Struthio camelus: one gene and its partners. The protein of the gene in region 1 purifies or fractionates together with the protein of each later gene. This does not show direct contact. Links are inferred from orthologs where the notes say so. Each region holds a gene or a part of one and is shown in the gene's direction. Other genes may lie near its edges. The genes, in order: ANAPC4, ANAPC13, ANAPC15 and ANAPC1.

Region 1 (7,542 bases):
AGTAAAAAGGGAAAAGTAAAATATGGTAACTGTAGTGTTGCGAGCTTGATTTCTGGAGTCTAGCCTGCTATTATGATTGCACAAATTTAAAAATACATCGGACTGAACCCTTGCTTTAAAATTTGTACTCTAAGAGTTAGTCTTTTATATAAAAAAAAATGAGAATTTCATAAAACATCTATAAAGAGAGTAAATATGAAAAAGTTGTGTCCATGCTTAGCATTGAATTTAAGACTCAAGGTTGCTTTCTAGGTAGAAATTTTGTTTTCTTATTTTCTAGGTAGATTATGATAATCATGCACTTTATAAACATGGCAAGACAGGTCGTAGACAGTCCCCTGTTCGTATCTTCACCAACATCAGCCCAAGTACGATTGTACTTCCTGTCGAAGAGGGTTATAGGTAAGATGTCTTTACACTCAAGTGAATGTGCGAGTGTGTTTTTAATTGGGGCATAAAGGCTCAACATGATTTTGGGATGGTGACGTTCAGTATTGAGATTGCCTAACTTTTCAATGCTAGGCTCAATAGCAATTTCTGCTGTCTCAGGCTAAGCTCCTGTATTTTATAAACAAGGTATAGGAGAGTTGGACACCTGAAAAAAGGGTTTTACATTAATTAGTGTGGAATGAAGAGATTCCTCAGCTAGCCCATAGGAAATGTGCGTGCCTGTGGGAGACAGAGATTTACTGCTATCCCTGATAATCAGCTTGGTTGAGACAGTAGTTCAGAACATAAAGACTAAAAGAAGTTTTGGGGCAGGGGAATTTTACTGATGGAACTCAAATAGCTCTTTTTTTTTTTTTCTTTTTTTTTCCTGTTTGATTTGCTGCTGATAACGTATATTGCTAATTTGAATTTGAGCACCTGAATTTTACTGTTTTGTACTTAAGGTGTTTAAATGATTATGAGGCTCTGGTTGTATGAAGTGGTTGTTGTATGACTCAAAAAAAGTATCTTAAACTTAGCAAAGTGATTTTTGCGATCCTTACTTCTACTGTGGAGCTTATATAAAACTCATTCGTGTAGTTTCTTGAGCAAATCCTGGACCAATATGTTTGTAACTTCATTTTTTCCAGGTTATGTGCTATCTGTCAGCGATATGTTAGCTCTGGTAACCAGCACTGTGAGATATGCAATTCATGTACATCAAAAGTAAGTACTTTGACTTCTTTCTGGATGGCAATTTTAGCAGTAGTCGTATAACTTCTGTAATTTTTGCCCTGGTAAAAAGCTATTCTGGTATTGATTTCACTGGAAAACCCTAAGCAGTTCCATTCAGGCATCTTTTTATTAACTTCATAGGACATCGTTCACAACTCCCTGGGAATTAATTCCTGTTTCCTGACACCTCTGGGTTAGGAGGAGGACTGTAAAAGTTTGTTACTTGCCCCTTGTGATATACCTTATTCATTGTGTGTGGATTTTTTTTTTTTTTTTACTTTATTTTAACATATACCTTTCTTCTTATGTTTGGGAAGTTGAAGAACTTGCTAACTTCAAAATGTAGCCGTTCTGCTGTGGTTGTCACAGATTCTCAGGATTTTTGTTTTCGCGCTGCCCACAATGTATATGCTGTTTCTGAAAATAAATGGGAACATATGTCATGAGCTCAGTTTTAAGACACAATCAATGTTTTTATTTGTTTGGATTTTTTTTAAGAAAAAACAATGCATTTATTCATTCTCTTATTTATAGGATGGTAGACGATGGAAGCATTGTGCTCTTTGCAACAAATGTGTCAAACCGTGTAAGTGCAGAAAAATACTCTTCTAAGGAAAAGTATGCTTACTGTTTAAGCTCTCATCCAAAGAAACTGAGATGACAAATCAGAAAATATGCTATAGAAGAAATAAAGCTTAATCATTCAAAAGACAGAGAATAAAGGGAAAAAAATCTCAGTTTTATATGAATTGCCAGCAAATAACTTGATTGGGTAGGTTTCCGCTATGTGGAAATGTGATAAACTCCTGTTAAGTCACGGCCACCTAAATTCAAGGCCAGTAGTAAATTCCACGTATATTTCTTACGGAACAGCTTGCTTATTTTGATTTGTGGTGTTTAATGGGAATTTTATAAACACATAGGTAAGTGTTAAAAGTTATTTAAAGCTTGGTTTCAAAATGATCATTTTTCAAGTTCATAAATCCTGTTACGTATTTTACAGCTTGGTTTCACTGTAGTAATTGCAATTGCTGTGCTCTTCAAGACCATGCTTGTGAGAGGACTGAAGCTGGTTGTTTCGTTTGCGGCAAAGCAGGTCACAAGCGCAATTCCTGTCCCAGGCTCTCCCTCACTAAAACAGCTTGCCAGTAAGTTTGATATTGCATTAATAATTATATTAATGAAGCCATTATAAAGATGGCTTTCAGAGATGGGAGGTAATTCTTACTTCATGAAAATGGTTATAGGAAGAGAGAATTTTAGGCTTTGTATGCTGATACCAGCTTTCACTGTTATCTGTTTGCTGTATTGTTGCAGAGGCTCTGTGTGAAATATGTCAACTGGAGGAGCATACGATAAAAAGCAGCATGATTTAGGCAGGTCACTTACTATGTGTCCTAATTCCTTAACTGTAAGGGTTTGTCTAGATTCAACACTTGGTGAATGGTGCATAGGAGATACCTCTGTCAAGAAGATTCAAAATTAATCTGAAGTAATGAAACTTTTTTAGCTCCTTCAAATTCCTCACCAAAGGGCAGAGACTGCAGTCACTACTTTGTTTTTTCTTGATTCCTGTTTTGCTTATTTTAGTGTCTTTTACTGTTCCGTCTGGTACCTCAGGTGCTCTCTGTGGTAGGGTCTAAATCTCCAACCTGTAAGAGCTTATTAATGAAGGACATGTTAAGTATTTGTATTAGTACTTTTCTAACTTCCTCTCCAGAGCGTATTGGTTTGTTTGTAATTCTTAACTTGAATGGATGGAGCAGTAGAAGTAAGTTTTGACTCCCAAAAGACGTATCTCTATTGCATAGTGAGGGATTCAGAACTATTGGATCAGCTTCAGGAGGTTCACTGGGTACTTGCTAGGTGGTACTGGTCTACAGGTGCATTGCTTCATGTCCTGCTATGACATTACTCTGAGTTCTGGTTATAGAGTAGTAGAGCTAAAATGTAATGAGATAGATGAATAGATAAGATATTTACAACTCTCCTTTTGAAAAATCCTTCCCTTAACAGTTCTTTATTTAAAAAAAGTAAAAAGGACGTTATAAGAAAATAGTGAAACCTTATCTGTTTCTTCAGTTAGGCATATTTTGTGTTGTGATGGTTTAGTCCTTTCAGGCCATCGGTTAGTTCCTTTGCTAATTTATTCTTATTCCAGAAAATTACTTAGATTTCTTTTTCTAGGTAAAACATCTGTAAATGTTTTATTTATATTTAAAATTATACAGTGTTTTGTGTCATGAAATACGTCCTTTGTCAGAGACCAAAACCAATCCACTTGCGTCATAAATTTACTGTAAAATGGAATGTCCCTTGTACTTTTTGTGACAGTACTTCTCAGTCCATATGCTTATATGGACAGCTTATTTATATCACGAGCAAATGCAGGTGTATGTTGTCTGCTTTAATCTGCGCATTTCTTTCTTGCTTTACAGAACTGACAAAAAGAAAAGGCAGAAGACTCCAAAGAAGGTAAAGATGGGGATCTGTAAAAGATCAGCTGTGAAACATGCAATATTCGCCAGGAAAAGAATAAAGAAGAAGAAGAAGAGGCCCAGCCTTCCTTGTTGATACAAAGTGACCCAAAATTTTTTTTATAGCCTGCTTTGATTCCATATTCTGACCGTGTTAATATTAATATTCAAAATAAAACCTGATTGAACTCAAAGCGACAGTCCTTTTATGTTATACATCATTACTGACAAAAATGCAATATAAACCACTCTCTTACTATGTATTTGCTTAGTGTGACAATGTCGTGTGGCAAGGATTAGCTATTGCCTGATTTAGCTGGAATCTGAAGTCAAAAGGGGAGCAGCGGGGAGAGGTCAGGAAGGCTAAACTGGCTACTAGGTAGTGAGTGAATGCTGTGGCTTTGTGGGAGGTACGGGGGAATTTGGGGCAAGGGGGTAAGCGAGGATGGGTGATGGAAAGGCACAAATTCTTAAGGCTCCTTCTCGCACTTCGTTCCCCTCTGCTCAGAGTACCGTGCTGGTTTCCAGTTCTTCTCTCCAGATGCTTGCAGGGGGAGAAGCCTGAGGAAGGACGCTGAAAGTACTTCAGGCGCAGGTCTTTTTGTTCTGCTTACTAAGCAAGTATGCTTCGTGGTATTTTTAAAGTAGTTTAACGATTTGGATTTAAAAAATCATGAGTTTTAATATTTTTGAGATCGGCGCTGCTGCAGTAGCGACGGGAGCTATGCTAAAAACGAACCCCCATCGTCAGATTGCGGCGGATACGCGGGCACTAGCGGAAGACGAGACAGGAAGGGCCGGCCTTGCCGCGGCCGGCGGGGGCAGAGCAGGAAGCGCCGAGGCGGCCCGCGCTGCCCGCCCGCCGGCCGCCGGGCAAGCGCCGCCTCCGGAAGGCGGCAGCGGAGGGCGGCAGGCGGGCGGCCGGCGGGCGGCGGGGCCGGGGCGCTCGGAGAGGAGAGGGGAAGGGGCCGGCAGCGCCCCGCCGCCATGCCGGCCTTCCGGCAGGTCGGGGAGAAGCAGCTGCCGCAGGAGGTCGTCTTCATGGCCTGGTCTCCCAAGCGGGACCTCATCGCCCTGGCCAACAGGGCGGGGGAGGTGAGCGGCGGCGGCCGGGGCCGGGGCCGGGGCCGGGGCCGGGGCCGGGGCGGCCGCCTGGGGCCTGCGCGGCGGCAGGCGGGAGGGCCTGAGCAGCGAGGGGAAGCGCTGCCGCCTTTGCGTGGTCGTGTGCAGGCGCTGCTTCCCTTACCCGTGACATAAGCGTTTGGCCAAGCTTGCAAGAATTACCAATAACAAAAAATGTTCGTCGAGCTGCTTATTGCTTGTTATTCGTTGCCTTGTTCAAATTGCCAGGCGCGTTCAGCAGTGAGACTCTCAGTGCCTGCATCTGTGCAGTTTTAAAGGGCCCCTTTTTCAGTTACATCAGTTTTGCAGTGTTTTTTTTCCTGGAAGTGGTGGTTGTGTTCAGGGGTGGAGACGTGGTGTTGGAGAAGGAGAGAGAACCTGTGTTGGCTGCAGGCTTCTAGGTCTGTAGAGGGCACAGTTTGTCTCTCTGTTGCTGCCTTGCGAGCAGCGTCCTGTAAAATGACCTAGGAGTGACTCCTCTGCTAGAGAAGACGACACCACTTGAGATGTAGGACTTATTAAAGAAAAGTAAAAATTTTCATCTTGATTTGATTTACAAGCTACAATTAACGGGGGAATAATTTTTTTTTTTTTAATCCTTCATGTGTTTGCTTTTCAGGTTTTACTTCATCGGCTTGCAAACTTCCAACGAGTTTGGAGTTTGCCTCCAAATGAAAATACAGGAAAAGAAGTGACTGCACTTGCTTGGAGACCGGATGGCAAAAGTAATGTGAAGTATATGAGGTGACATGTTGCAATAAAAATCCTGTTGGAAATCAGTGCAAGTTGTGGTGATGATACCTCTTGTCTCTGAAGGAAATTTTCAAGTAAACTGTATTTGAAGAAAAGGGTAGCTTAATTTTATGTAGGTTTATTCAAAGCTATAAGGAAGGATACACTGCTGAAGGCAATTGCAAGAAAGATTGGCAAAGTGAATTTATGTCCAATAATATTACTTCCCAAGGTATATCAAAGCTTCCAGTTCATAACTAAGCAGAATATTTTCACGTGTACTACAAAATTCATTGGGAGAATAGAGACAAATCAGGACAGACTGAAGAGCCTGGCTTCTTTAGTCAAAGGCTAAATTTTAGAGGTGAAAATTGCTCTCTAATATTATGCCAGAGAAGGTAAAAAAACCTCTTTCCTTGGTAGAATAAGGTCTGTCAAGACAGTAATGTCTTACAGATGGAGATAACATTGAAATTAGTAGCTTAATAAGTATATGTTGGAAAGTAGTTTGATTTTTTTTTGGACCCATTGGAAGAGTGAGAATGGGAACAATATTCTGATAAGACATGAGCAAGTACTACCTGTTTAGTTTTACGTTGGAATTTAAGAAACTTTTTTTTAAGCTAGTTGCCTGTGATTACAAGGAAGTGGATGCAGTAACGTATGCCTGCCGTATGTTTTTATAGATAAATAGAGGTAAAAAAGGTAGCGATGCAAATGTTGTTCAGCAAGTCTACAATTTTACTTTGTTATAATAAAACCAAAACTGCTGTTGAATGGTCTTTAAATGTATTTCAGCCTTAAATTTGCAAAAACTGAGGCCCTGTAGTTAGAAGTGTGTACTTCAGTTCAGCATGCAGATAAATAATTGTAGGATCAGACTTTTGACCTAAATATGTTACTTAAAAATATGCTAGGAGTTCAAACCTAGGAGTGCTAGTATGCTAGAAGTGCCAGTGAGTAGGTTTCAAGTTAGAGTTTGGAAGCACAGTAGATAAAAGACAAGGAGACAACTAGATGTCCAGTAGTAGGCTTTGAAGGAACACTGTTTTCTAGTCCCGCATAAAGAAAATACAAAGTTTTGCATGTTGGTTATTTATATATTTTACGTTTTCTTCTCTAGTTTTGGCTTTTGGCCTAACTGATACCAAGCGGATTATTCTGTGTGATGTAGAAAAACCTGAAAGCTTACACTCCTTTGCAGTGGACTCTTCTATTACTTACATGCATTGGATGGAAGTAACCGAAGAAAGCAGGTAGGTCTGAAAAACTCTGCACATAAACATAGGCTGTGCAGTACTATCTTACTAATAATTTACAGTTAGTGTGTTACAAGTGGCTAAATAAAAGAATGCTGTCTTTTTCCTCACCACTTTGTTAAAATTTTCCCTTTTTATTAGAATATACTTCTTAATGTGCTTATTTGTAGTGCTGAAGTCTTAGTCTTGTGGTTCTTTTAGTTTATGCCAGAAATATTTCAGTAAGACGTTGAGCATCCACCTGTTAAGAGCTTGCTTAATCCAGTGGTAACTTGATGTATTGTTGTACAGCCTGCCTCCTGATCCAGTTTACTTTGATACCCACTAATGTGTTAATTTATTAAACTAATTGTAATAATGTTGTTATATTCATCTGCTTTGTTAATCGGGGAGAGCATTATATTTAAATCTTCATTAGTGTTTTCGGTGCTTTGGTAGGGTGCTTGCTCCTTTCACGTTTTGCCTTTGTTCTTACATCCTAATCCATTGGCGGTTCTATGATGGGTACAGTTGCTTCAGGATGTCACAGCGCTCCTAGTGACTGTGAGCGTGTGTCATTACGCAGTTCTCAGTAGCACTTGTGAGCTCGCGGGCACTGTGGTCCCTGTTTCTGTGATCTCACAAAACCATCTGATATGTACCTCGTTGCAGTGCAAGACCATAATTAAAAATTTATTAGAAAAAGGGAGGGGGCCTCACTTGGGAATTCTCTCCTCCTTAAAGTACAAATCTAAACGTGGTAAGAAAATAAATGCATCTTAAATCAGTCTAGCATTTTTCTCTTCATG
Region 2 (6,968 bases), on another chromosome or scaffold:
GGACCAACTGTGCATATGCAGTACTTTGCACTCTAAGCAAATCAGCTTGGGAAGAAATTCATACAATTTTTAAGTATTCATCTAATTCTCTAATGCAATACCTCACAAGTGGCACGTTCATATCACTGAGCAGAGACCTAACTTTGGCAACGACCAGTGAGGAATACTTTATAAATCCTAGCCAAAACAAGTAAGCTACACACTTTAAGCACAGGGATTTTTTTCCTTTTAACCATAGACACATAACAAGCACCTACAAATACTTATCCCTTTGCCTTGGTGCTATGCATTATCTAAGCAAAAGGGAACAGGTTTAATCCATGTTTTCTATTCTTCGCAATTGCTCTCGAGGCAGAGACATTTTATACCAAGTTTCAGTCACCAGAGAAATCTTACAGCCAAGCTATCAGCTCCTGAAAATAGAAGTTTATCACAAATGCAAACAAACCCCTAAGTAGAGGGGGTTGGATGACAACATGATAATGAAGAATAAAACACTTGCAATCCTTTGGGGACAGCATGCTCCCTAGTGACTGCAGAATTTCTAATTTGGTGCAGTAATTATTGGAGCCAATTCAGCAAACTCCTCTAAAACTTCACAGGCTGCTAAGCCAGGGACAACATTCAGGCCTGCAAGATACAGCCCGAGAAGGCAGTGAACCCTATGATGATCTTTACCCCTTTAATTTGCCTGTCAAACGGAAAGCACTCAGAAGAAATGGAAATCAATAGGTTAACGGATCTAAATTTCTCTGTTCCCCCAGAGCATATGCACACTTCACAACTTGACAGTTGTTTTAACAGGGAAAGAAGTAGTTCTTAAAGGAGCCCAAATCATTTCAATTTGAAGTTCACCCTGTCCTGCAAGTTAACAAAAAATTAGCAGCTATTATGCAGAGCAAGAACATTTCCTTCTCAGCAACTGCTAATATAAAGCTCAGTCTAAGCTTGATTTCTGCAACCAGTTATTTGTAGAACAAATATATGGTATCAGTAAACTTGGGTCAAACTCTCAAAGACAACTATGAAAACAGCATCAGTAACTTTTGCTTCACGCTTGTTTAACAAATAAAATGATGCCCCCCCCCACCCCCATTACTGGCACTACAGTCTCTCTGGGATCCAGATACTTTCACCCAAGACAGAGCATAAAGGATTCTTCAGAGATGAACGGTGCTCTGCAGCGCCAGCACGCTCAAGAAACAATCAAACGTTTCCAATAAAAACAGGTAGCAAAGGCAGGTCTCATTAACCTAATAGGGCTCTTAAAAAGATATTTATTCACTTTTAATTACTACCGCTCCTGGTGCTAGATGGTAAGAAGGGTTTTAAAAACAAAAGGAGGTAAAGTTTTTAGGGAAGATGAAACACAGAAATAGTAACAAGACCACGATATCAGAGAGCAGTGATTACTGGGAAGCCAGCTCACCAAGTGACTTTGCTTGTTTTGGTTGAAGGCCACTGTGCACAGCAGGCACAAGGAGACACAGAGCAAAGACCTTATTTGAAAAATGGAAGATTTGCCTGACTGGTAAGACAGCATTTGGTTCTAAATAAAAGGGGAGTTAGTCTGACAGACGGGTGTATTCTGTTGCATACATACCTTCCCTGCCCATGTCTTTGCATTCCTTCCAGCAAAGCCTCCATCACCAAATCCTGGCGGCGTTAGCAGCTAGGAAAGTAAACAAAAACAGAGGTCACCGGAGGCTATATATCAGCAAGTCTACTTCTCCAGCCAACTGCAGAGCATGCAGCAGAAGTCCACAGAAAAGAAATTTAAAGATTACATAATAAGCAGCTGGTGCACAATTACAGGTGAGGAGAACAGTGGTCACCTTCGTGAATTTATAAGCCAGATATCTGCCAAACAAAGGAAAACAGATTTTTCTACAAAAACCAAACACACACACAAGCATTCAGCTCCATGAATTTAGGGTGATACAGCAGTATTCTCTAATGAACAGAACAACTCAAACAGCCGTAGTGGCTGGCTCAATACACAGGAACTGGCAGATCTCCCGTCTTTTGGGTATACTGAACTGCAGAGGAAGAGCCACACTCGGGAACTTGCAGATGGACCAGGCCCAAGAGGCATCTCTGACAGGGGTATTTGTTGCTTGAGAGAAAAACCCAAGCACCTTGTAAGCAAGCAGTGGTGAGGAAAAACAAAAAAATCTATCCATAAATTAGGTCTCGCTTAAACAGAAGACAAAGCTCATTACTGCTTTCAGGACACATTGCTACTTAGTATGGTCAAGAGGACTTTTCCTTCAATATAGCGCTGGTTTTTTAAAAATTCCTCTGGTGCCTTAAGCTACGAAAATAAGTTGCATGGGTTTACAGTAGCAGTGCACGACCGTTAAGTCATGAACACATGTATGTGTGCACAGATAGAAGTTCCACACACTTGTAAAGCAAGAAAGGTTTACCTTAATAGCAAAAAAAAGGAGAGTAAAAACTGAAAGTTACACTGGAACCAGAGCCACAAAGCTGACATTTTATTTCAGTAGGTTGTCCACGAAACAGCGTCCCTTCTGGTTAACTCACAAAAAAATACACTTCACTTTGCTATTTGGAGGTGTTCATACAATCTTCTGTTACCAAAGCATCCATCCACTCTCCCAAGTATTTAGAGAGGGATCTTCACAACATGATTCCTTAAAAATAATTATGGCATTATTATGCAGTCAACAGGAGGGGCACAGCGGGTCACACAAAGTGAGATTTTCAGAAAGGCGCAGACTTGGCTTTGGTCTCTTTTTAACTTAAGTGAGAGCTTCCATCCTGCTCCTAGCACGTTTTAAAAGCCCATCCAGAAATCAAAGCCTGCCCTTGGAGTTCAGGTACGTTTTCTACCACACTTATTCAGAAAATAAACATTTCCTGGAGCCAAAAAAAAAAAAAAAAAACCAACCCTGACCCTACACTGATACAGCGTTTTGTCTCTCTTCAGTTCTGTCCACGCGTGACAGAATTAAGCCAGGACGCGGAGCCTCTCGGTTGTGTTGCTGACGACAGAGCTGCTGCTGAGAGCCGAGGAGCCGTTCCAGGTGGCCACAGCGGACCATAACCAGCAGCAGCTCTTCTGTTTTATGCCAATCACACCCACACAGAATTGGTTTCCAAGGGGTAGCGGGGAGATTTCTTCCGTCCACTGCGGAGAACTTCTAAAATTCAAAAAGGAGACGTGGAGAACGAGCCAGGCCCTTTATCAGCCGCTCGCCTCATGAGAGCCTGGACTAAGCTCACCGCTACAAGGCTTCAGTGCCCTGAGAAGCCAGGCAGCACCGGCTCCTGCTTGCGGCGGGCTCTAAGAACGGCAGCCCGGGCCGCAGCCGGCGGCGCCTCCCGGGTGAGCAGCCTCAGGACGGCGCCCCTCCGCTCAACGGGTGCAGGGCACGGGCCACTCACGGGACGCACCCGCGTACACCCTGCGCTTAACCTCTAACTCCAGCCCAAGCAACCGGCCCTGACCTGTCACTCTTGAGATTTAAGGAGGAGCAAGTACTTGCGACAAAGAGAAGAAAAAGAAGACTTAATAAAACTTCTTTTGCATCCCACCTTAAGAAAGAAGCACAGCAACGGAAGAGAGGCAAGGGGGAGAAAACTGACGATACACGGAAGGCCCCGAAAATACAGCTTGCGAGAGAAGAACAGGATTGTTTAGCATTAAATATATATATATACACGGGGGGGGGTGCAGTTTTGAAGGGTTTAAAAGGCTGCTGGGCGTGGGTTAGCAGGCCCTACGCCGCAGCAAGAGGGATGAGACGTTAAGGAAAGCCTCCTAACCGTGCCGCATCAGCTCGCCCCGGGCCGCAAGCGCCGTCCGCGGCTGTCCTAAAGGCGAGAGCAAGGGCGGCCGTTAGCGGCCGTTGGCGCCGCGCGCCGGCCGAGTCCTCCCCCCTCCCCGCCCCTCGGCGCGCCCGCAATGACGTGACGCCGCTCGGGGGCGGAGCGCGAGCCCTGCGCGTGCGCCCGGGGGGGGGGGGGCCGCGCCTGCGCACTGGCTGGGCGGAGGCCGGCTGCCCGGCATGGGCGCGGTAGGGCGCGCGGCGCCGGGGAAGGGAGGGGGGCGGCGGCGGCGCGCGGCGCGGCCCTGCCCTGCCCGGCGGCTCCGGCCCTCTCCGGACACGTTCTGCCGTGAAACCAGCGCCGGCAGCCGGGGGCGGCCGCCGGCCCGCGGGAGCCGCGCAGGGACGAGCTGCCGCGATGACGTTTCCCGGGGAGGGGGAGGGGGCGCGGGCAGAGCCCTAATAAACCATCACCCGCGGCCCCGGCAGCAGCTGAGGGTGGAGGACGGTTCTTGTGTTTGTCGTGTGTTACTAATCCCCCGGATCTGGGTTTTTGGCAGCATTTCGTGCGGCGTTAAACGCTTGGTTCTGGCTCCTTCGCAGGCGCGGCAAAGGCCCGCGGCTGAGTTATGGCAGCAGAGCTGGCGCCGCAAGGCAACCGGCAGCCAGCGAGAAGCAATGCTTTCGTGCTGAGTTAGAGGGCCCTGGGGAACCGCAGCTCTCAAGGCCACCCACCAGCTACTTCTAAAGGTTAGTAACTAGGCGCTCCCCCTGAAAGCCGCTATAATTCATCATTATAGGCTACTTTTACAGATTTCTTCACCTCTGATGCTTATCAACCTGCACTTCAATTTGACGCCGTTATTTGCAGACGAAGTAGTTGCGCTGCGGTTATAACCCCTTTTTGAGTGCTTTAGGAAAACCAAGCTTCCCCATATGATTTGAAGCTTGATAATAACTGGATCACAGCTGGAGCAGCCGTGCGGTCTAAACGTGAGCCGCTTGGGAGCGTGGATGCTAGAACAGCATCTGCTTCGTGTCACAGATTCAGCTGTACTTGCCTACCACAGAGATGGACAGCGAAGTGCAAAGGGACGGCAGAATCTTGGATTTGATTGACGATGCATGGAGGGAAGATAAATTGCCGTATGAGGACGTGGCCATCCCATTGGTAGGTGAATCGCTGCTTATCAATCTGAGTTAAGATTGGCGTGTTTCTCACAACCCCTGCCAAGACACGGCAGATAGTATTGCTTGCGGTGCCGCTAAGTATCCTCTGCGGTGCCAGAGGTTCCCAGGATGGATATGACTTAACTCTGTTCTCTCCCATATGCTCGTCATTCCTGTGTGCAGACAAGGGCATGGATGTTTCTCTCCCTCTACCCCTGGGCAGTTGCCCTATCTCTTTGGAACTGGACTGCCCTTCCCATCGCACAGTTCTGGGTTAGACACCAGGGTCTACCTGTTTTCAAAGTTGTTGCCCAGCCACTTTGCGGAACAGAGAGGATCAGTCTTATGCTGACAGCTGAATAGTCCTGATTACAGTTTATTTCCACCTTCTGAAATTCCATTAGAAGAAGCTGAAAAATTATCAAATGTCTTCCTAATTGGACTTCTCCAAATACATTGTTGCTGTTGCTAGTTCCAGGATAGTAGTGAACACACCAGCATCTGCAGTAAGATTCCTGCTGGTAGTGCTTCATCCGGTATATGGCAGCTAGCCCTCCTTCCAGTAAACAGGTCATTGTACAGCTACTAAGCCAGAGAGGTGCAGCTGGGGAAAAGCTGCCTCTGATCCCAAAAATATCCAAGTTAGAGCCTCAGATCTCCCTCGCTGACCCTCTTCCTTAGCCATTTGGGGACTACCAGTGAATTGAGAGGCATTTGAGGATCTTCCCTCTCCTTGTTCACTCTGGTACGTAAGCTTTACCCTGGCTAGCACTGACACAGCAGGCACACTAAAATCACAGGGATTTCACATGATCCTGAATTAACACATGAAAGTGCTTCCTGCGCTGCTTTGGCTAGTTTTGGCTACTAGTTTCTTTTAGCAAAGAGACACTTGCAGACTAGCAGTAACTTCAGCTCAGCAAGCGAATATTGTTCAAGTGTCAGCCTTTAAATCACGATATGCCAACATTCCTGGAGAAGATGCAGCTCAGGTTTTGCCAAGTCCCTTCTCAGAGCAGTGATGAGACCACACAGGAGTTGGTTTCTCACCATGTCCTTTTCTCCTTCTGGTCTTGTAGACACAAGCTGCATGCTTCAGTCTGCACAGTTGTGTGAGAAGGTTACTAGGGAGATGAATCCCTCTGACCATCCATTGCCCTCCCTGGTTTGTCAGCTGCTCAGACCGCAGGTAGAAATGCAGCTGGGGCACCTGCTCGATGTAGCTGTCTGGCTACGTTGCATCCATCGCTGTGGACCCCTGGGCCCCTGCTGCGATCTAGTCAGAGTGAGGTGCACAGCACTGTCTCTGATTTCAGAGAGGGCAAGGAGTAGCCGCGCACCTTCACGCTCCGCATATAAAGCACACAAGTTTTCCTGCCCTGATTTGGCCTTGAGGAAATGATCTTGCAGAACTACGATTCTCAGACACAAGAACCTAGATTTCCTTGACTTGAAGGCACATATAGATGGAAGCTTCATCAATTAGCCTGGCTGTGGATATAAAGATTCCCAGGGATGGGATTGGCTCTGGTCACAAAGAGAAACCAGCACAAATTCACAAGAGAGTTACTCAGCGGAGTTGTGAAAAAGCCAAGAGAATGGTTGTAAAGTCATATTTGAGCTGTCCTGAGCATCTGATCCAGTGCTTGCTGGAGAGGGCTCCTGAACTCTAAAGGGCTTGAATCATATGCCATTTTCAAAATTGAAGTATTTTATTTAGCTCATGCTGGGATTTCGAGAAATCTAGAACTCAAAATTATTGCCCAAATGATATCTTGCAGAATAACACGCCCGCTGTGTGACTGCACCAGTACAGGCACACACAGAATAAATAACATAAAGAAGGAACGTTAAATCTCAGTGAAACCATACTTCCTCCTTACTGTCTCCTGAGCAGTTCTGTGTTGCATCTCGTAAGGGTTCCTGACTTCCCCTGTTGATACAGCACAGACATACCTGACTTCAGTGCACAGAGGAAGGATTTCTCACCTGCAATGGGACAAT
Region 3 (7,534 bases), on another chromosome or scaffold:
CCCAGCGCCGCCCCCCCCCTGCACTCTTGCAACATGTCACCCCTGCGCAGTGCACGGCCCCGTGCCAGGTCCCATGGGCCACCCGTGCCGGGGGGTGTGGGGTGGGTGCTGCGGTGGCTCCCGGTGCACCCTGCCACCCCGGGGTGCCCACTGCCACCCCCCCCTGCACCCTTGCAACGTGCCACCCCTGCGCCGTGCACGGCCCCGTGCCAGGTCCCGTGGGCCACCCGGGCTGGGGGGTTGTGGGGTGGGTGCTGCGGTGGCTCCCAGCATGTTGTGCCCACAGGAGCCACCCCTGGGTGCTCAGTGCCACCCCCCCCGCACCCTTGCAACGTGCCACCCCTGCACCGTGCACAGCCCCGTGCCAGGTCCCGTGGGCCACCCGGGCTGGGGGGTGTGGGGTGGGTGCTGCGGTGGCTCCCGGTGCACCCTGCCACCCCGGGGTGCCCAGCGCCACCTCCACCCCCTGCACTCTTGCAACATGTCACCCCTGCGCAGTGCACGGCCCCGTGCCAGGTCCCGTGGGCCACCCGTGCCGGGGGGGTGTGGGGTGGGTGCTGCGGTGGCTCCCGGTGCACCCTGCCACCCCGGGGTGCCCACTGCCACCCCCCCCGCACCCTTGCAATGTGCCACCCCTGCGCCGTGCATGGCCCCATGCCAGGTCCCATGGGCCACCCATGCCGGGGGGGTGTGGGGTGGGTGCTGCGGTGGCTCCCGGTGCACCCTGCCACCCCGGGGTGCCCAGCGCCACCTCCACCCCCTGCACTCTTGCAACATGTCACCCCTGCGTCGTGCACGGCCCCGTGCCAGGTCCCGTGGGCCACCCGGGCTGGGGGGTGTGGGGTGGGTGCTGCGGTGGCACCCGGTGCACCCTGCCACCCCGGGGTGCCCACTGCCACCCCCCCCTGCACCCTTGCAACGTGCCACCCCTGCGCCGTGCACGGCCCCGTGCCAGGTCCCGTGGGCCACCCGGGCTGGGGGGTGTGGGGTGGGTGCTGCGGTGGCTCCCGGTGCACCCTGCCACCCCGGGGTGCCCACTGCCACCCCCCCCGCACCCTTGCAACGTGCCACCCCTGCGCCGTGCACGGCCCCGTGCCAGGTCCCGTGGGCCACCCGGGCTGGGGGGTGTGGGGTGGGTGCTGCGGTGGCTCCCGGTGCACCCTGCCACCCCGGGGTGCCCACTGCCACCCCCCCCTGCACCCTTGCAACGTGCCACCCCTGCACCGTGCATGGCCCCGTGCCAGGTCCCGTGGGCCACCCATGCCGGGGGGGTGTGGGGTGGGTGCTGCGGTGGCACCCGGTGCACCCTGCCACCCCGGGGTGCCCAGCGCCACCTCCACCCCCTGCACTCTTGCAACATGTCACCCCTGCGCAGTGCACGGCCCCGTGCCAGGTCCCGTGGGCCACCCGCGCCGGGGGGGTGTGGGGTGGGTGCTGCGGTGGCTCCCAGCATGCTGTGCCCACAGGAGCCACCCCGGGGCGCCCAGGGCCACCTCCCCCCACCCCCCTGCCCCCTCGCCGCGCTGCAGCGCCGGGCGCGTCAGCCCCGCACCACGTGGGCACCTCACCCCCGTGCCAGGCGCCGCGGGCCACCGGTGCCAGCAGCGGCACCGTGCCCACCGGCGGGGGGCGGGGGGGGGGGCGCCCACCCTACCTGGTCGATCCAGGGCCCCAGGTTGGGCGAACACTCGTAGAGACAGGCGTCCTGCACGAAGTGGCGCTTGCAGCGGGCCGGCATGGCGCCGCAGTGGTCCCAGTTGAAGTTGTAGAGGGGCGAGCGGTCCTGGTGGGCGGCCGCGCTGGTGTTGGCCGTGCAGCAGGCGTTGTCCCGCCAGGGCGCGCACTGCCGGAGCGGGGTGGGGGGGGACAGGCGGTGGGTGCGGGGGTCTCACCACCGCGGCGGTGACCCCCGGGCGCCCCTCGCCCCCCACCTGCCCGTAGAGCTGCCCCTCGGGGCCGGGCTCCGTCTTGTGGTGCTTGGCGTCCATGCACACGTTGAGCGGCAGCGCGCGGCCGGCCGCCGGCACCGCCACCGCCGCCACCACCGGCACCGGCAGCAGCAGCAGCAGCAGCAGCGGCAGCAGCGGCAGCAGCAGCAGCAGCAGCAGCAGGTCCCGCGCAGCAGCCATCTCCCTGCGCAGCAGCGCCGGCCCCCGCTGCCCACAACAGCCGGAGGGAGCGCGCACAGCCGGACGGGGCCGAGGCGCGCACAGCCGGCCCGTGGACCGGTGCCCGGGGTGGCGGCGGTGGTGCGCGCACAACCGCCCCGGCTCGACTCAAAGGTCAGCGGGCGCCCAGGGCTCAGCGCACCCCCCCCCCGCCCCGTCCCGTCCCACGGGATATCCCCCGTGGGTCACCCACACGCACACCCACACACCCATGGGGGAACAATCCCCCGTGGGGCACCCAGCCAGGCACCCACCCACCCCGTGGGTCACCGACAGCCACAAGCACACCTGGGGGGAACGATCCCCCGTGGGGCACCCACACCCACCCGTGGCAAGGCACCCCGTGGGTCACTGACACACACCCACACACACATGGGGGAGCGATCCCCCCTGGGGCACCCACACCCACCCGTGGCAAGGCACCCCGTGGGTCACTGACACACACCCACACACACATGGGGGAGCGATCCCCCCCGGGGCACCCACACCCACCCGCGGCCAGGTCCCCCGTGGGTCACCCAGCCAGGCACCCACCCACACCCGGGGCCAGGTCCCCCGTGGGTCACCAACACCCACCCCCAGGGTTCAGATCCTCGTGGGTCACCCACCTGCACACCCACGCGCACACACAGACACACACATGGGGGGACAGATACCCTGTGGATCACCCACGCACCCACCCCCCCCCCACACACGGGGGAGGTCCCCCGTGGGGCACCCATACCCACACAGACACACACACACCCAGGGTTCAGTTCCTCCATGGGGCTCCCACACCCACCCAGAGGCAGATCCCCCGTGGGTCACCCACCCAGGCACCCATCCACACCCAGGGTTCAGATCCCCCGTGAGTCACCCACCCCATCTGCAGACACACACCCGGGGTAGATCCCTCCTGGGTCACCACAGCCACACCCCCCACAGGACTGTGGAGCAGATCTCCCGTGGGTCATCCACAGCCACACCCACACGGTGGGAGCTTCTCCATGGGCCATGCAGCCATCCGTACCCACACCCACCCAAACCCAGGGGCAGATCCCTGGTGGGTCACCCACACCCATGCCCAAACACACACCTAGGGGCATGTCTCCCGTGGGTCACCCACCCCCACACCTGCACATACCCGGGGCAGATCGTCCGTGGGTCACACCCACCCACCCCCACACCTGAGGGGCTGCTCCCCCGTGGGTTACCCACACCCATACATCCACCCACAACCATCCGGGGGCAGGTCCCTTGTGGGTCACCCATCCACACCCACACCCACCCACACCCAAATCCACAAACACCCGTGGAGCTGGTTCCCAGTGGGTCACCCAGAGCCACACATCCCCCACACTCATACGTGGGCAGATCCTCGTGGGTCACCAACTCCCACCCAGGGGCAGATACAACGTGGGTCACCCACCCACCTACAACACCCCACACCTGTGGGGCTGTGGGTCACCCACCCATACACCCACAAACACCTCCCCACGTGCACACCCGTGGGCCAGATCCTCCATGGGTCACCCACCCACAAACACTTCCCCTACACCCACAAACACTTCCCCTACACACCCGTGGGGTTGATCCCCATGGGTCACCCACCCACCCACATAACCCCACAGAAACCCACTCCCACTCAGGTGCAGATCCCCAATAGGCCACCCACGCACAAGCACACACCCACGCACAAAAACAAACCCACAAGAGATAGATCCCCTTGGGTCACACACCCACCCACAAACCCCCACAGACACCTGCCCTACCCAGGGACAGATCCCCAGTGGGTCATCCAGCCACCCACAAACACCCACTCCCACCCCAGCGCACATCCCCGTGGGGCCACACACCCACACCCACCAAACCCCACGCCCACCCACACCCACCCGGGGGCAGATCTCCAGTGGGTCACACTCCAACCCACCCACAAGCCCCCACAGACACCCATTCCCACCCGGGGGCAGATCCGCAATGCATCACACACCCACCCACGCACACACACGAACACCCGAGGGGCAGATCCCCAGTGGGTCACACACGCACCCACCACCCCCCACAGACACCCACTCCCCCTCGGGGCAGATCACTCGTGGGTCACACACCCACCCACCCACAAACCCCCACAGACGCCCACTCCCACCCGGGGCCGACCCCCGTGGGTCACGCACCCACCCAGCCCCCCCGGGTGGCAAAACCACCATCAGTCGGTGACGCGCTGGCCCCGCCCCTCGCCCCTCAGGCCCCGCCCCTCGCTCACCCCCCCCCTCCCCGCGGGCGTGACGTCGCCGGCGTTCCGTCCGTGGGCGCGGGCCCGCGGGCTCCTCCGCGCATGCGCCGTGCGCGCGCGCCCGCCGCAGCGCCGCCCCGCCCCTTCCGGCGCGTCGGGCTCCGGCTCCGGGTCGGCGCCGCTCCCCGCCGCGCGGGGGTTCCGCCGCCGCCGCCGCTGCCGCAGCATGTCCACGCTGTTCCCGTCGCTGCTGCCGCGCGTCACCGAGGCGCTGTGGTTCAACCTGGACCGGCCCTGCGTGGACGAGACCGAGCTGCAGCAGCAGGAGCAGCAGCACCAGGCCTGGGTGCGCCGCGCCGCGCCGCGCCTCCGCCCCGCACGGCGGGGTGCCGGGGCCTGGTCCGCGGGGGACCGGCGGCGGGGGGGGTCTGGGGACAGGGGTGGCGGGGGGGTCCTGGGGACGGGGGTGGCGGGGGGTGGGGGGTCGTGGGGACGGGGGTCGAGGGGACAGGGGTGGCGGGGGGTGGGGGGTCCTGGGGACGGGGGTCCTGGGGACAGGGGTCGTGGGGACAGGGGTCGTGGGGAGAGGGGTGGCGGGGGGTGGGGGGTCGTGGGGACGGGGGTCGTGGGGACAGGGGTGGCAGGGGGTCGTGGGCACAGGGGTGGCAGGGGGACGGGGGGTCCTGGGAATGGGGGTCGTGGGGACAGGGGTTGTGGGGACAGGGGTGGCGGGGGGTGGAGGGTCCTGGGGATGGGGGTCGTGGGCACAGGGGTGGCAGGGGGACGGGGGGTCCTGGGAATGGGGGTCGTGGGGATGGGGGTCGTGGGGACAGGGGTGATGGGGGTCGTGGGGATGGGGGTCGTGGGGACAGGGGTGCCGGGGGTCGTGGAGATGGGGGTCGTGGGGATGGGGGTCGTGGGGACAGGGGTGATGGGGGTCGTGGGGATGGGGGTCGTGGGGACAGGGGTGCCGGGGGTCGTGGAGATGGGGGTCGTGGGGATGGGGGTCGTGGGGACAGGGGTGATGGGGTCCTGGGGATGGGAGTCGTGGGGACAGGGGTGGCGGGGGGTCATGGGGACAAGGGTCATGGGGACAGGGGGGACAGGGGGATGGGGGTGGCTGGGGGCCGTGGGGACAGGAGTGACGGGGGTCCTGGGGATGGGGGTCGTGGGGACAGGGGTGGCAGGTGGTCGTGGACACAGGGGTCATGGGGACAGGGGGGTCAGGGGGATGGGGGTGGCTGGGGGCCATGGGGACAGGGGTGAGAGGGGTCGTGGGGACAGGGGTGGCAGGGGGTGGTGGGCACAGGGGTGGCGGGGTCGTGGGCACAGGGGTCATGGGGACAGGGGTGACAGAGGGATGGGGGTGGCTGGGGGCCGTGGGGACAGGAGTGACGGGGGTCCTGGGGATGGGGGTCGCGGGGACAGGGGTGGCAGGTGGTCGTGGACACAGGGGTCAGGGGGACAGGGAGGTCAGGGGGATGGGGGTGGCTGGGGGCCATGGGGACAGGGGTGAGGGGGGTGGTGGGCACAGGGGTGGCGGGGTCATGGGCACAGGGGTCATGGGGACAGGGGTGACAGAGGGATGGGGGTGGCAGGGAGCGGTGGGGACGAGGGTCATGGGGACAGGGCTGACGGGGGGGTCATGAGAACAGGAGTGGCAGGGGGTGGTGGGGACGGGAGTCGTGGGGACGGGGCAGACAGGAGGGTCATGGGGACGGGGGTGGCAGGGAGTGATGGGGATGAGGGTCGTGGGGACAGGGCTGACGGGGGTTGTGGGACCGAGGGTTGTGGGGATGGGGCTGGCAGGGCGTTGTGGGGATGGGAGTTGTGGGGACAGCATTGGCAGGGGGTCGTGGGGACGGGGCTGGTGGGGGTCGGGGGTAACACGGGGTCGTGGGGGCGGGAGTGGTAGGAGGTCTTGGGGACAGGGGTTGTGGGGGTGGGACTGACAGGGTTCCTGGGGATGGGGGTCATGGGCATGGCGGTCGTGGGGATGGGGCTGACAGGGGGGTTGTGGGAACGGGGGTCGTGGGGTTGGGGGTCACGGTGACAGGGCTGACAGTGGGGCTTGTGGGGACGGGGGTCATGGGGACCGGGTCGGCAGGGAGTTGTGGGGATGGGAGTTGTGGGGATGGCAGTCGTGGGGAGAGCGCTGATGGGGTCAGAGGGACGGCGGTGGTAGGAGGTCGTGGGGACGGGGGTCATGGGGATGGAGCTGATAGTTGGGTTGTGGGGACGGGGCTGACAGGGTGCTGGGGACAGGGGTCATGGGGACGGGGCTGATGGGGCGTCATGGGAACGAGGGTTGTGGAGACGGGCCTGGCAGGGGGTCGTGGGGACGGGGGTCGTGGGGACCAGGGTGGCAGGGGATTGTGGAAATGAGAGTTGTGGGGACGGGGCTGGCAGGGGGTCATGGAGACGGGGGTGATAGTTGGGTTGTGGGGATGGGGCTGACAGGGGGTCCTGGGGATGGGGCCGGTGGGGGATCCCTGAGGACAAAGTGACTCTGGGTGTGGGGGTCCTGGGGACAGGGCCAACAGGGGCTTCCCGGGATGGGGTCCCTGGGGATGGGGGTCCTGTGGACGGGGCTGGCGGGGGCTCCTGGGGATGGGGGTCCCGTGGACAGGGGTCCCAAGGATGGGGGCGACAGGAGGTCCCCGTGGACGGGGCTGCTGGGGCTGGGTGAGCAGAGCGCAGGGCAGAGACCTGCGGCGCGGGGCTGGCTGATGGGGGCGCAGGGGTCCCACCGCGGGCCGGCGACGTGGCTCCGGGCCCGGCCCCCCCGGGGTCTCCCGCGGTTGGGGCCCTGCCCCGCTGCGGGCTCTCACCAACGCCCCGGTCGCTGCCTCTGTCCCAGGACCGCGCTGGGGTCCCGGGCGCCCGGCGGGATCCCCAGCCCTGCAGCGCCGGGGCAGGATCGGGTCCGCGGTCGGCTCCTCCGAGCGCTTTCCACGTGCTTCTGCCCTGGCGCCGCGGCTGCGCCGCCGGCCCCCCCTCGCCCCGGCGCCCGGGCAGGGCCCAGCGAGCCGCTCGTCCCGTGGCCCAGCCCTCTGGGCGCAATTACGCCGCTGCCCTTCGTGGTTCGCAGCTCTCCCGTTACGTGTGTCGGCAGCTCAAAAAGGTGTTGCTGAAGCACGGGGCCCCCTCCCCG
Region 4 (7,991 bases), on another chromosome or scaffold:
TATTCTCAGGCCCTGGTGACAGAGATTGAATTTCCCCTTCACTGCCTCTTTCACTGCAGACCAGCCTCGAACATCTTGAAGTGATCAGCAGCTAAGAAAGGGCACGTGTCACTGGAGGCCCACATTAAAGGGGAGAAGAAAAATGTATTAGAGCTGCTGCAAGAAGACTAAACATCTTCCACGGTGCTGAAGAGCTAGTGCCTTCCTTGCAAGTTCAGCAGTGTCACCACGTCTCCAGATTTTGAGCGAATTCCCCATGCATTCAGTGTCATTCAAGAGTAAGGAGGAGACTGGGGAACATGAATTTGTCCCTCCATCTTTCCAGGCTGGCTCTTGGAAATCACAATATGAGCCTGTCATTTGTGGTTAACTCTGTATTTTGTGGGTGCTCTTTCATCCGGCTATGTTTCCCACTGCTGCTGGCTTTGTGTTATTTGAGAACAAAGCAGTGGATGGGCTTTTGTGTGCTATGGGGGGGGGGGGGGAAATCTCCTCACATAGGGACCACATCATGTAATTGACCCCACTAACATATATTTGAATTAGGGAGAAGAAGCAGGACCATTTTTATGAAAGAAAAGAGGAGGGAGAAAAAAAATAAACAAGGAAAACACAGGCACGTGTTTACGGGCACGTAAAGAGGATTTTAACAGCTCTTTAAAATCCTTTAATATGGGTCACTTATTTACAGAAGGTTAGTTTCTGTCAGTGCTGGTGTAAATTGGTGTCTGGAGCTGGTGTGTGCAGCTCAGTAGGGTTTGTTTCAGTTCGTTTGGGCACGGCTCGACATGAAAAAGATACTAGTGCGTGGAGGGGGAGGAGGAAACGGGGACCATAAGAAAAAGTCTCATGCCGAGATCACGATATGAAAGGTAAGGAACCAGCCAGCACGAGCTGCCCTGGGAGCGAGTCTGACCACTTTGCCTGCTTTTGGGGTTGGTGACACACAACCTCCATTTTCTCCCAGCATATTGCCAAAGGATGGCAATATTAGTCTTCCACCTCTACCACAGTGAACGTGGAAAGATCTCTCCTTCCAAAAGAACGCTTGGCTGTCAAATTCCTGACATTTCTGTCTAACTTCATGCATAGATAAATTCATGAATTTATTCATTTCCCACTGAGAGTTTCGTGCTGACAATAGTTTCATTTCCTTCCTTGTCATTTTAAGGGCATACAAAATATAGGCTCAGCATCAGTAACCCCGTCTGGGCTGCCTTGATACTTTCCATCACTTAAAGTCTTGCCAGATTCCAACAATTAGTGCTGAAACGTACCAGCACATGTACTTTATACGTTTCTTCAGAATGATTTTGGTTTTCTCAGGTTGTTTCCAAGCTCTGGACAATGAATTGTGTCAGACTTGGTGGCCTTTTCTCAGAGAAGATGAAGTATTTCCATGCTCTAGAGCCCAAACTCAACATTTGCCGGGAAGCTGCACTCAGATGAGGAGTGTTTTTGGTCCCAAAGCACCTGTGTGGCCAGACTCACAAGATCTTCCCGAATAGCATCTCCTGTTCCCACTGTCTCCAGTGGTCTTTCCTTTTAGGGCTGGGCATCAGCCAACATTTGGCCCTGAAGAATACTTCACAGTCCTTCCTGGGAAGTGGAAGAGGAAAAAAATCAACCGATGTCAAAGGAAAAGGACTGGAATAAAGGGAGAATCTTTACTCCTCAGAGAACAGACCTTAAGAGAGGAAAATAAAAGCTGACTGACTTGTCTGTTTGCCTGCCAGGATATGATCCTGAACCAGCTAAACTAGTTGTGCTTGCAGCTTTCCAGGTGATATATAGCACAAACCACACTGGTGAGTGAGGTCTCCAAAGAAGAAGGGGAGGGTGCCCATACCTTTGCACAGACATCAGCAGTCCCTGTTTGAGTCCCTGTTTCATCCGGTGGCTCTCCAGCACAAAGATTGTGGTATCTGCATGGCGTGTTCAAGACTTCCCGCTGAAAAGGGGCCAGTGTCCTTTGAGACCTAATTTGCTATTGCGTTTGTGTACATATGCACAGAAACAAACACACATACACGCAGACTCCTGTTTGTGGGTGCAAAGGTGCAGATCTTTATCATCATAGGCCTTCTGCTGCTTTACGAGAAGTTACAATCCCCATTTGGTAACATCAACAGTTCCACAGGTATTCTCAGCTTTCTCTTAAGCAGCATCTCAGTAAGCATTAGATGAGCTTTCACAGGTGCCTGGGAATGTAGCGGTGCCAGGATGTGATCCTTCAGGTTTTTTGCAATTTCATTTCACGGCATTGACAACATTTCTTCACAAGACCATTCAGAAACTTCGGGCTTAACGTAATGTGTACAAAATCAGATTGTTTAGCAGAAATGCAACCACTTGCTATTTCTGTATTTTCATTTTCCTTTTGTTAAATTTCTTCTTTCCCTTTTTCCTGCTTCCTCTTTGTATATATTTATATGTGTGTAAAAATAATATTTGCAGGGGCTCCTGTTCTTTTAAATAGCAAACTGTTTTAGTGATATGTTTTTAGTTCAAGGTCGATGTCTCATTTGAGTTAAATGTTATATCCTTCACAGGACACAGCTCTCCAACAATTTGCACAGAGAAAACTAAATGTTTTTGGCTGCTAGGAAAATACTCCCTTTTTTTTTTCTGCTTTCTTTGGGCACACTGTGCATGCTGCACCTCTTACTAGGCACATTCTGTCCCTTGTCTCAGTTGTTTCTTCCTAAGATAAATTCTCCTGGTCTGCAGATAGTTTTGCCAAAGCCATCTCCAAAGGCTGGACGCTGGCTAAAACGTTCTTAGTTTTCAGCCCTGTGTGTTCTTTCTTGCCCACAAAGTTGCTGTTTGCATTTCACAGTTCCACTGGTGCAAACACCTCCATCTGTCTATATGTGGAAATTTGGTCCTTTGCTCTGTAGATCCAGGCTACCATTTCTTTTGGCTGTCTTCCTACCAGAAGTTGTGATACGATTTGAAAGCGCTCTGCAGGTTGGTGAACTCTTACCACTTCTGCTCAATCTGGTTTTCCCCAGCAGGCTTCTTCTCGGTTCTGAGAAAATGATTATGATTATTGTCAGGCGTTGTTCTCAAAACCACTTGTTTGACCTGTGGTCTCAAATATGCTTTCAATGCCTCCTCAGCTTCTCCTGCTTTTGATTTCTCATGTGAAACTGATATCTTGAAAAAAATTGCGTGTGTCAGAATGCACAATCCCTCCAGTTCCTGTCAGGGTATTTCTTACACATTTTGTTCTTTCTCCTTTGATTATTGTCTGTTAAACAAATGCAACTCCTATGAGTCTATAATGGAAAAAGAAATAAGTGACTGTATCTCCCTCAGTCTTCCTTTCAGCTCCTTTTGCACTTCATACATGTGCTAAGAAAAAAAAAGCATTCTCTGCTATGCTACTTTGATATGAATGGGGAAAGTATACCCATGTATGAATGGGGAAAGATTGTATAAGAGCAATGTAGTCAGCAACACCCTCTTGTTTAGGTGTGCAATTATAAATGTGAGAGTTAAAGAAAGGAGCTCACATTACAATGTATAGATGATTGCAAATGCCACAGGCTAAGCTTGCTTACTGTGGACATGTCTGCATGGTCCAGATGGCTCTCTGTACATGTTACAGTGCCAACAAGATGGGCAGACTAACAGCATGGTGGTGACCTCATAGGTGTAACTTATTTTTAATGGAATACAAATAATCTGACTTTCCTGCTAGATTTGGCAGCTGAGTACATGCCAAATCCCAGAGAACTATTTCTGCGTGCTGTGCTGTGACACAGCAACCAAGGCAGAAGAGCAAGCAGGTTTTGGAAGCCCAAATGGCCTAATTCCACACAGGTGACATTTGGTTATATACAAATGCATGTCAACACACCCTTCCTTTGGAGCATGGGAAAATCTGGCTGTTCCCGTGTGAAAAGCCATGCTAACTGCCTGACACCTAGTGCTCTGTAGACAGAGATGCAGCTGAGAAGGTTTCAGCATCCTCAGCCTTAGCCTTTACAGAAGTCACAGGCTGTCTCTGCACTCGTTCAGGAACGCCTATGGATGATGCAACACCTTTTGCATTCAAGATGAGACTAGTCACCCCATATACTGACCACAGATGTGTAAGGGGGTGGATTTGTAGCTGGTGTGAGTCAGTGGAGCTCAGACTTCCGAGGAGTTATGCTAATCCATATCACATGAGCATCTAACATTTGTGAAGGGGATTGTACAACATGCCTGTTGATGACTGCAGGGTAGCAAGGGGCTGGGAGGCCCTGCCAGTCCTCTGTATATGTCTAAGGTACGTTGCATTTTCTTTTTTAAGTGCCATGCCTCCCATCTTTGGGAAGCAGCTGCCCTGTTTACAGGGTAGGGTTTACACGTACTCCTGGTATCCATCAGTAGAGCTGATCTTGACCCAACACAATGCCAACAGTTAATCGGTTCCTGTTCAGAGTCAGGAAACCTCTCCCCCCTGTGAAACACCCATTTGCGCCTATCCTTTGTTTCCTGTGCCACAGCCAATCACGTATCCATGAGATGACCTTCCCTTTCATGTCATGGCTGCTTAGTTTCTTCAAGAAAGCATGAAAAGTCATCTAGGGTCTCAGCCAACGTGAAGCAGTTTATCTATTCTTCAGGTGTTTTCTCTTCCCTGTTGCTGGGGGAAAGACTCTTGCGCCTGAGAGAAAAGCACCTTCGCCCACCCTGGGCCTCGCGCGTGCACAACACGGTCCCTGCCTCGGAGCCACAGAGCAATCTCTGGGGCCCGGCACTGACTAGCTAAGAGCTCGGCAGCGAGTCCCATCGGCGGCCTCATACGCCAAGGGACCTCAAACGCCAAGAGGAAACCCTCAAGAAACTTTAACAACAGGATCCAGTGCTCTCCGTTTAATCCACGATGAATTCATACGGCGGGATAAACAACGAGCGCGAAGAGCATCTAGAAAGAAGCAGGCTACTTCAGTGACAGCGCCCTTCCGAGCGCCAGCGCAGGCCTGCAACACCGCAGCCAAAGGCGGCTGCGACCCTGAGCAGCCTCAGGCAGCCAAAGGCGCCGCGCCGAGAAGGAGCCCTGCTCGCCCCCGGAGAGGGGAAGGCAGAGAGAGCTGACCGGACAGCCACAGACCGCCAGGGCTTCCCCTCCCCGGGCTACTCGTCAGCTACCGTTTAACCGCTCAGCCCTACACTGCCCGCTGCCCTGCGCGGCGGCTGCGCCTGAGGCTCTGAGGCCGGTTTTCACTCAGGTTTTTAACAGACGCAGCGGCCTGCGGCCCTAGGGCATCGGCACGGTCTCCCCCGCCCGCCATTTCCCTCCCGGCCCCCTCGGCGTTGTCATGGCGCCGCGCCCCGCCGAGGGGGGTTGTGGGAGCGCTAAGATGGCCGCGCCCGTGTGAGGAGGAGGAGGAGGAGGAGGAGAAGAAGCAGCCGCCACCGCGGGAAAGAGCTGCCGGCGCTTGGCCTCGCCCCTGCCGCGCGTTTCCTGTGTCACGCAGGTCCGTGCGCCCCCGGGAGGGGAAGGGAGAGGGGGCGAGACGCGGGGTGGGAGGAAGAAGGGCGAGCCTTAACGCGGCGCCTGGTGTCTCCGTTCGCAGAAATAATGTTGATATCGGGCCCCCATGTCGGACAAGTGTGACGAGAGGGCGACGATGATTGCGGCGGGCGATTTGCAGGAGTTCGCCCCTTCGGGCCGCCAGCACTGCCAGCGCCACCCCAGCGCCCTGAGCCTGCAGCTGCGGCGCCTGCAGCCGGCCTCGGAGCTCTGGGCCTCGGACGGCGCCGCCGGCCTGGTGGGCTCCCTGCGAGAGGTCTCCATCCACGAGAGGCGCAGGGTAGCGTGGGCTGCGCGCCGGGCGGGCGGGTGGGCGCCCTGTCGGGGCAGAAGCGCAACCCGGAGAAGGAAGGAAGGGGGGTGGTCGTGGTGGTGGGGGGCTTCGGGGCGAAGCGGGCTGCATAACGTCCCTCTGCTTCCCGCAGCCTCGGCGGCGGGCTTCTCCTCCATGCGCGAGCGGAGGGGGCCTTGAGCCGCCGTTGAGGGCTCTTCAAAGCAGCACCGGCTCTTAAAAAGAAACCCACCACCGCCAACAATAAAAAAACGAGTGAAGCGTTGGGTGTCATCCACAGCGAGAGCGTACAGCCTCCACGCAGCCCGTCCCGCGCGGGCTCGGCGTGCCCGTGCCCCTCTCGGGAGCGCGGAGTTGCTGGGAGAGGGTCCCAAGAGGAGAGGCGAGAAAGACCGTGACGCCTCGTAGCGGGGGGGGGAACAGGGAGGAGGGATTCGGGTGAAGGCTTACAGAAGGACGGAGGTGATGGCGGAGGTGAAGGTAGAGCCGCCGCTCCCTGAACTGCGCGACAGAACTGATGGTGACAGAACTGGCTGAAATTAGTGAGAAATCGGTTTAAAACACATAATAGAAACTACTTCTTTACGCAAAAAAAGAAAAAAAAAAGAGAGGGCTTGCGGAACTAGCCGCCATGGAGATTTGTGGTGGCGGACAGTGCCGTCCAGCTCAGGAGTGGATTAGACAGCAGGCCCGTAAACAGACATTGAAGAGACCAAGCAGAGGGTGAGCCCGCTAATCCGGTGGTTACGGAGAGTGTTGGAATAGAGCGCAGGAAGGGGCCAGGCTCAGGCGCTTTCCCTAAGCACCGTTTCCTGTTGATGCTGTTGGAGATGATGGGTAGATGGACCATCGGCCTGACCCCATCGGGTGATGCTTGCAGTTGGTCCTGTTCTATTCAGAAACAACAGGCTGCTAGCTGGTGCGCTGAATCCATTGTATGTGCCGACAACAGCGAAGCAGGATGTTCCTGAAGGGTGTTCCCTGGATTCAGTGCTGGAGGCAGAGTGCGAGCAGCAGGCACAGCGCTTGCTGATAAAGACTTCTTTTTATTCTTCATCTGTCCCACTACATCAGATTACTTCCTTCTGGTTTTAACTGGGACCCTTTTTTTTTTTTTTTATTCAAAAAATAAGGGAGGAGGCAGGGGAAAACATCAGAAGTGCAAACCAATGCTTATTCTGCTTTTCATTAGCTTCCAAAAGTCTTTACTTTTTAAATAAGTTGAGCAAATCAAGTTGAACGATTACTTAAAAATGGTCATTGAGAAATTATCACCAGCTACAATCGCACTGCTTATTAAGTTATCTTCCTGTTACAGGAAAAGTTGCAAGATTCAATCAATAACTCTTGGTTTTCAGGAAAGTTGGCAGTTGAGAAAAGGTGTCAGCGCTGTTGGGGAAGAAGTGGACTATGATGAAGAGCTGTACGTGGCCAGCAATATGGTCATCTGGAGCAAAGGAAGTAAAAACCAAGCATCTACTGTTTATAAGGCTTTCACTGTTGACAGCCCTGTTCTACAGGTAGGAAAATGTGGAAAGGTAGCAATTGATTGAATGCATGTTAGCTAAAGGATACCTGCTGACTGTTTTCAAAAGGTGCTTCAGGGTTCTAAGGTGGGTTTGTTTTATGAAATATAGAAAGATTGAATTCAGTGGTAACATCAGGTTGTTCTTCAGAAATAATTGTATTGTATTTGGCTTTAGGCCTTATGGTGTGACTTCACTATACCCCAGGAAAAATCTGAAAAACCTGAAGGTAAGTTTTATCTTTATTTTAATGCCAAGCAGAGTTTAGTTTGTTTGGCATGTGAAGTTTAGCCATCAAGAACTACTATGTTAAGAACTCCTTGTCCTCTCCAGAAAAGCTTTATATTTTATGCATAGAAATCTAAGGAAATAGAAAAACTTCACTCTGTGTTTTCTCCCAGTTTCAGGTAGCGATGAAATAGTAGAGAAATGTATCTGCATATTGCAGAACTCGTGTATAAATGTGCATAGCATAGAGGGAAAGGATTACATTGCTGCTTTACCTTTTCAGGTATGTGCTTTATCTTTTTTTTGGTCCCAAACAAAGTCCGTTTATCTGGTTGTTCAGGGTGTTGGGGTGGGGAGGCGTACATGAAGCACTGCTGTCGGTGACTGCATGAATTCTTCATTCCAGTGGGTGAAT

The links.
Region 2: the proteins of ANAPC4 (region 1) and ANAPC13 purify together in Homo sapiens (affinity purification with mass spectrometry; 9 studies listed by BioGRID and IntAct, counting the BioPlex papers as one, with this or other methods). This does not show direct contact. The link is inferred for Struthio camelus from reciprocal best matches to the Homo sapiens genes ANAPC4 and ANAPC13.
Region 3: the proteins of ANAPC4 (region 1) and ANAPC15 purify together in Homo sapiens (affinity purification with mass spectrometry; 10 studies listed by BioGRID and IntAct, with this or other methods). This does not show direct contact. The link is inferred for Struthio camelus from reciprocal best matches to the Homo sapiens genes ANAPC4 and ANAPC15.
Region 4: the proteins of ANAPC4 (region 1) and ANAPC1 purify together in Homo sapiens (co-purification; 13 studies listed by BioGRID and IntAct, with this or other methods). This does not show direct contact. The link is inferred for Struthio camelus from reciprocal best matches to the Homo sapiens genes ANAPC4 and ANAPC1.

The regions. Positions count from the first base shown.
Region 1 is NC_090945.1:67,043,225-67,050,766, reverse strand, and holds the start of ANAPC4 (anaphase-promoting complex subunit 4), read left to right. Parts: upstream 1-4,531; 5' UTR 4,532-4,628; coding exon 4,629-4,736; intron 4,737-5,382; coding exon 5,383-5,488; exon of another isoform or gene 5,489-5,507; intron 5,508-6,618; coding exon 6,619-6,751; intron 6,752-7,542. Other genes in the region: rRNA N6-adenosine-methyltransferase ZCCHC4, read left to right, coding at 281-402, 1,080-1,155, 1,699-1,750, 2,168-2,312, 3,603-3,738. UniProt on the Homo sapiens protein: Component of the anaphase promoting complex/cyclosome (APC/C), a cell cycle-regulated E3 ubiquitin ligase that controls progression through mitosis and the G1 phase of the cell cycle.
Region 2 is NC_090950.1:5,129,448-5,136,415, forward strand, and holds the start of ANAPC13 (anaphase-promoting complex subunit 13), read left to right. Parts: upstream 1-3,968; 5' UTR 3,969-4,043; intron 4,044-4,354; 5' UTR 4,355-4,544; intron 4,545-4,741; exon of another isoform or gene 4,742-4,864; 5' UTR 4,865-4,866; coding exon 4,867-4,965; intron 4,966-6,968. Other genes in the region: CEP63 (centrosomal protein of 63 kDa), read right to left, coding at 1,604-1,647. UniProt on the Homo sapiens protein: Component of the anaphase promoting complex/cyclosome (APC/C), a cell cycle-regulated E3 ubiquitin ligase that controls progression through mitosis and the G1 phase of the cell cycle.
Region 3 is NC_090942.1:224,054,761-224,062,294, forward strand, and holds the start of ANAPC15 (anaphase-promoting complex subunit 15), read left to right. Parts: upstream 1-4,532; 5' UTR 4,533-4,606; coding exon 4,607-4,726; intron 4,727-7,534. Other genes in the region: folate receptor gamma-like, read right to left, coding at 1,655-1,843, 1,932-2,129. UniProt on the Homo sapiens protein: Component of the anaphase promoting complex/cyclosome (APC/C), a cell cycle-regulated E3 ubiquitin ligase that controls progression through mitosis and the G1 phase of the cell cycle.
Region 4 is NC_090944.1:139,057,279-139,065,269, reverse strand, and holds the start of ANAPC1 (anaphase-promoting complex subunit 1), read left to right. Parts: upstream 1-4,986; 5' UTR 4,987-5,474; intron 5,475-5,573; 5' UTR 5,574-5,597; coding exon 5,598-5,810; intron 5,811-7,180; coding exon 7,181-7,342; intron 7,343-7,525; coding exon 7,526-7,577; intron 7,578-7,749; coding exon 7,750-7,859; intron 7,860-7,991. UniProt on the Homo sapiens protein: Component of the anaphase promoting complex/cyclosome (APC/C), a cell cycle-regulated E3 ubiquitin ligase that controls progression through mitosis and the G1 phase of the cell cycle.